Linked DNA regions of Mus musculus. The protein of the gene in region 2 purifies or fractionates together with the protein of the main gene of each other region. This does not show direct contact. Links are inferred from orthologs where the notes say so. Each region holds a gene or a part of one and is shown on either strand. Other genes may lie near its edges.

What was found.
Region 1: the proteins of Naa30 (region 2) and Naa38 purify together in Homo sapiens (co-immunoprecipitation; 3 studies listed by BioGRID and IntAct, with this or other methods). This does not show direct contact. The link is inferred for Mus musculus from reciprocal best matches to the Homo sapiens genes NAA30 and NAA38.

What each region holds. Positions count from the first base shown.
Region 1 is NC_000077.6:69,394,467-69,397,172, reverse strand, and holds Naa38 (N(alpha)-acetyltransferase 38, NatC auxiliary subunit), read right to left. Parts: upstream 1,383-2,706; 5' UTR 1,282-1,382; coding exon 1,201-1,281; intron 997-1,200; coding exon 813-996; intron 658-812; exon of another isoform or gene 654-657; coding exon 541-653; 3' UTR 502-540; downstream 1-501. Other genes in the region: Cyb5d1 (cytochrome b5 domain-containing protein 1), read left to right, coding at 1,880-2,039, 2,125-2,201, 2,327-2,545.
Region 2 is NC_000080.6:49,185,733-49,189,246, reverse strand, and holds part of Naa30 (N-alpha-acetyltransferase 30), read right to left. Parts: intron 1,698-3,514; coding exon 1,560-1,697; 3' UTR 1-1,559. UniProt on the Homo sapiens protein: Catalytic subunit of the N-terminal acetyltransferase C (NatC) complex. Catalyzes acetylation of the N-terminal methionine residues of peptides beginning with Met-Leu-Ala and Met-Leu-Gly.

The sequences.
Region 1 (2,706 bases), on a different chromosome or scaffold from region 2:
AGGAAACGAATCCTCAAGACTACAAATGGGCAAATCAGAGAGCATCTCTCAGCATCCTGCCTTTTCCTTATCGCATTAGTCCATTCTTCCTGATCAGACCCCAGAGTTGTCTGGCCCTGACCCCAAAGTCACTTCCCCATTAATAGCGCAGAGAGGGCCTTGTTTCGGCTGCCTACCCAGCTCCCCTTGGGGACCCGAGCCCGTTCTCTGACCCCAGCTTAAAGGAACTGAGTGTTGCCAGGCCGGGGTGGGAAACAATGGATCTTCCGGGGCAGGATGACACCGCTTCCCGCTAGAAACTGAAGCAGGAGCGTGGGAGGGAAGATGGAGGGGCCCACCCTAGGGCCTGCTGCCTTAAGCTCCTAACTTGAGGGAGGGTTTGGTTCTTCTAGGCATTGGGGCAGGTTGAGGAAGCTCCTGAACTCTGATGAACCTCTAAGGGTGGGGTGTGCTAGCCCTCCCCTGACATTGGACCTACACACAGACACAGGCCACTTTGGTCATAGGGTTTAATGGTCTCAAAGAGAAGTGCAATTGTGGTCAGAGATACGGGCCCCCCGACAGACTCTCCCTTTGGACTTCAATAGAAACGATGTGGTGTCCTGGTACCATGGCCAGACCCAGCACACGGGGTTCGCCCGCAGAAAATGAATCTGGAAAAAAAAAAAAAAGTCAGTATCAGAACAGCAGGCAAACATCCGTCTCGCCCCCAGAAAATAAGGGGGTGCAGTAAGGCCTGCAAGAGGAAATGCCTTGCAGTGAATTTCCGCCGCATTCCCGAGGAGGTAGGTGTGTATTCCCTGGACACTGACCAGAAGGCTTGAGGAACTCTTGCGCAGAGCCCAGGATGACATTACAGTCGCGATCAGTGCACAGGAAGCAGCCGACTAGTGTCCTTCCATCTGTCATACGGATACGCATGGTCTTGTTGAGCAATGCCTCTAGTTGCTGCCGTGCACGCGTGGCCGGCGAGTCCTCCTGTTCCCCATCAGAGTCCTGCTAGGGCAGGACAAGCACTCAGACACCTAGGATCGGCAGCACGCCCAAGGAACCACAGTTCCCAGCTGCCCTCGCGGCGCTGCCAGAAGCCCGTGGGCTGCTGGGAATTGTAGTTCTCCTTTCCAACCTCGCCACCCCCTTTCCCCTCCCCGCCCGGTGTCGCTCCCCGACTGCTCGTCCAGAAACCAAGCCCACGCTAACCCCGGCGCTGGAGCTGCTCTGACGCCGACTGCAACAGCCATTCTCCTCTCGTAGTAGCATGGTCGGCCCAGCTCCGGCCATTGGCCCTGGGACCTCTTTTGGGCCTTAAACTTCCTAAGAGCGTTTTGGGGGATCGGCGCGTCAGATCTCGCGAGTGCTCCCAAGCGCTTTCGTGAGATCACAATTCCTCCTCGCCTCCGGTTCCGCCACTGCAGATCTCGCGAGATTTTATTTCATGCCAGGTCCCTACATGCCTACTGGGCTACGAGAAGAATATCGCGAGAACTTTACCTGCAATTGCTTAAACAGCTTTTAAACGCCTGAAATCTGGTGATTAAAAAACCCTCTATTCTAGTCTCCTCGTCGATACTTTCTGTTACCCCTAACTCATCTAGCCTACACTCCGTTATGAAACGGACTGTCTTCATTTCCTCTAAGAATGAATTCAACCACAGTAGGCTCGAAGCCGGAATCCGGAATGCTTCCGGTGGACACGCGCAGCCCAAACCCCGCCCTACTTACGTATAACTAACTACTGTGGCCGGTGGCCGGAAAGGGACAATGGTTTCCATGTCAGCGACAAACGCACTTCAGGTAGTTCTTGGACCTGATAGTTTTAAGATTGCGGAGGAGCGAGAAGGTAGCTGAGGGAGCCTGTGCCTCTTGTAGACCAGGAGCCATGCCGCGCCGGGGCCTAGTAGCCGGGCCAGACTTGGATAATTTTCAACGTCGGTATTTCACGCCGTCAGAAGTAGCGGAACACAACCAGCTCGAGGACCTATGGGTGTCTTACCTGGGATTTGTTTACAATCTAACACCGCTTGTCGAGGAATTCAAAGGTAAGGGACACACGGTAGGGAAGGGCTGGAGAGCTGGTTCTGGCCCTTGGGTGGCCGGCCATTGACGGCCTCTGTTTCTTTTTAGGGGACCTACTGTTGAAACCCATCCTGGAGGTCGCAGGCCAGGACATAAGTCACTGGTTTGATCCACAGACTAGAGACGTAAGTTCTGCTGGTATGGGGTCGGTGGAAGCGGCACTGGAGAGCAGAGGAGGGATGGCGGGGAATAACTCGAACTCGAAATAGTGATTGCTCCGATCCGTCTCTCCAAATCCTTGCTTTTGAAGATTCGCAAGCATATAGATCCACTCACTGGTTGCATGAGATACCGTACCCCGCGGGGCCGCTTCGTACATATCCCGCCGCCACTGCCCCGTTCAGATTGGGCCAATGATTTCGGAGTACCCTGGTGGAAGGGGGCAAATTACCAGGTGGGACGACTGTCTGCTCGGACCCGGAACATCCGTATTATTAACACTCTTGCAACGCAGGAGCACACACTGCAGGTGAGCTCTGGCGCCTGGGGACGTACTAGAGGAACCAGAAATCATTTCTGGGAGTTAACACGACAGAGGAAAGCAGATGGTCCTGGTACCCAGAGTTGGAAATTCCAGAAGTATGTTTGTATTACAGCTCCCTCAGTCTCCTTCATAGCTCTAGGCCAGCA
Region 2 (3,514 bases):
CAAACAAAAAAAGCGCAACAAACTTTCCTGAAAAGGGGCCTTTACCAACTGTTAATGGAGGTAGGGTTTTTAAAAATACAGTAATTACAGCCATAAAATAAAATTCAAACCAAGTATTAGAGTAGAAGAAAAGTATATTCAAAAGAAAAAAACAACATGAATGCCAGATTCCTATAAGCATTTTTGAGAAACTGACTCTTGTTCCTTATGAGTGCTTAGGTATCCTAGTTAAATAAATTACTCATCACAGCTTTACCAACTCAACCCAAAGCAGGGAGCTACAATTTGCTAACATTACACTGATTAGCCAAAATCCACTGTAACTAATAAACACCTTGGCTGCTCAGAAAACCCAAAGAACTCATTAAAAAAATGTTTCATCCCTCTCCTTTTTTTCTGGAGGAACAAAGCAAAGGTCCCCCAACAATCTGCTCATGAGTAAAAAGAAAATAAATGCAGCTTGAAATGGATACAATGCTCCTTGAAATTCATTTCTAACACTAAACCAAAAGTGAAGTATTTTCAGAAATGGAAGCAATGTGAATTCAAATAAAGTTAAAAAGAAAAAAGAAAAAACCCAGCTAGTTTATAGAAGCTGTTCTTCACAGCTTATCAATCATTTTGATTAAATAAGATCATACCAATTTACATTAATTTTCTATTGTTTTCAAAAATTCCCCCATTCTCAAAAAAACAAAAACAAAAAAGTGCATCCAAACCCCACAATTCCCAGCTCCATCCCTTTAAGCCATTTCTCAGTTTCCCAAGTAGGGTCAGCTTCTTACTGTAAGGGAAGAAGGGACTTCCTTCTAAAGCAAAGTACTGCCACTCACCTAGAAAAACTGTCCAAATGATAAAAATCTGAAATAATTTATTATCAAATTTAGAATTTAAATAAAAACAAGTTTGCTTGCAAAGGTATTAAAGAAAAAGAAAAAGAGCATGCATTCAAAAACTAGAGATGAAGACAAGAATACTTATCTACACAGGCACTGGCAGACGCAATTTAATTGTCATCTTTACTCATCATAAGACAAATTCCACCCTACACTTTTCATCCACTAATCACTGAGGTACCAATATTCAAGATGGAAAATTTAATATTGAAAAAATAAAACCTAAATTGAAGCTTTTCCCTCACCCCCTTCAAAAAACTATGGCAGGTTTTGTGTGAAATGTTAGTATACTTAGGAGACTTTTACAATCTACATTGGCTTCTTGAAGGAACAAAAATCATGTCCCACTTACTGGTTCTGTGATAAAATGATCACTATATAAATAGCACTGTCAGCAGACTTTGCAAATGAACAAGTCTTGGCTATTAACTGGCACATCCTGCTGGTACCAACAGAACTCTTGAAGTTTAAAACAATCTCATTTAATTCAGAACAAATGCGCCATGCCAAAGTGCAACAAATATTGTGCAACACTCAATGGACACTGACAGATAACAGCTGCATGGGAATCACTAAATCCACCTGCAAAGCAATTCTGCACAAATTGCATTGCATGCAAAAGTCGCTTCCGTGTGGGTGGAGTCGTTCCTTGCTGTCAGTTCCTCAGCGCAGCCACAGTTTAAGTCGCAGTGCGTCAACTCCATTTAAATAGTATCTGAACAGCCTCTTATCTCGAACAAAACCAAGATTTTCATAAAGTTTCAAAGCAGACTTATTTGTAATTTCTGTTTCCAAAACAACCTTCAAAAAAGAAAAAAACTTAAGTTATAATTTTACACTTAAAAGCTGAGGAAGTATATAACCAGATCAAGCATTTTGAAAGTTTAAATATTATGATAAAATAAAACTGGCATACAGAAAATGTCATCAAAATGAGAAAAGCAATTATTTTTGTAATGCTTCCATTTTTAGTAATTGAACTACATGTTTATAATAAAACAAAAATGAACTAATTTTTGTGGAGAAAAACAGGTGTCATTTAAAGAGAAAGAGAAGAAAAATCAATTATCAAAAGTTTCTAAAAGCAGCCAATATTTGAAACTATTTAGCCTGACCTCTAACTCCTGTTACTATTAACATGTCATTGTTTATTCTGATAACAACTACCATATTGGTCTACAGCAGTGGTTCTCAACCTTCCTAATGTTGCGAGCCTTATGCAGAGAAAGTTTACTGAACCTAGACCAAGGGAATTTAAATATTAGGGTACATGGTCTCCTGGAGTATGGTTAGAATAAGACTGCTGAGGGCTAGGAAGGATAAATTACTTGCTGCACAAACTTGAGAACCCTAATTCAGATCTCTATTATCCTCATAAAAGTCAGGTGTCAGGTTGAGAAGAGACGAGCAGATTCACAAAGGTCACTGATCAATCTAGCCAAACCGGCAAGCTATAGGTTAGATAAAGAGACCCTGTGTCAAAAACATAAGGGCTGGTGATGGTTAATCAGGTGAAGGTGTTTCCAGAGCAAGCCTGGCAACCTGCACTTGACTATGGGGAACCCACATCACGGTATAAGAATAGAATTGACTCTACAAGGTTATCTGATCTTCACATGTGTGACTGTGACATATGCACTCATACAGCATAAATATATACACATACAATAATAATTAAGAAAAATAAGGAGTTGGGGAAAAATAAGGCAAGAAACACAACTGAAGAAGATATGCTCCGTAGATCTCAGACTTCCAACTTGCATGCATACCACATTCACATAGATATGCCACACAAGCACACACACAAATATGCTCACACACAAAGAGGCTTAGTGCCCAAGAATTTGCATTTTAAACAAATTACCAGGTGAGATTGATGTCACTGAGAACCTGTGGTCTAGATTTTGCTCAAATCAAAACTTAACATAGGATCACAGAATATGAAGTTCCATGTGAACGTTTTGGAGTATCACTGAACTAACTCATGGCCCTGACAGCAGAGAGCTGATAGTTTTGAAAACTATGTGCCCTTCTTATTTCTACTTCCCTCTGCCTAAACACTCTTCCTTCCTAACTTTTATATATGCTGCTCTATTTGCCTTTTCTATTGACTGTCACCTGTGTCACTGAGACGTATCAGCACATTGTGCCATAGTTCCTGTCAGGGTGTCATAACCTTTGAGCATTTAGAGTGAGGGAAAAATGGCAAAGTACAACTAAACACAGACAAAGCAGAGCACCCATAAAGCACATGAAGGTCTTCCTATTCTATTTTGAATATGAATTCAAGTGACAGAGAGAAAAGATACCTTGATTTGCTATATCCAAAATCACTCAGGACCTGCACAACTCTGCATCTCAGCGAAGAGGCTCTCCACCCTACCATCCAGTTCCTCAACCTGAACCCTAGGAGTCTTGAACTCTCTTCTGTCTACTCTCTTATATGCATCCAAGCATTGAGTACTATCAATTCTCCCTCCTACATTTTCTCTTATTTTTATTCCACACTGACAGAGCCCTAAACTGCCACCAGCTCAAGAAGTCTCCCACTTTCTACAAAGGATCCTCCCATTAATTTCCTAACTAAAATAACATTGACTCTAGCCTTAAAATATGCT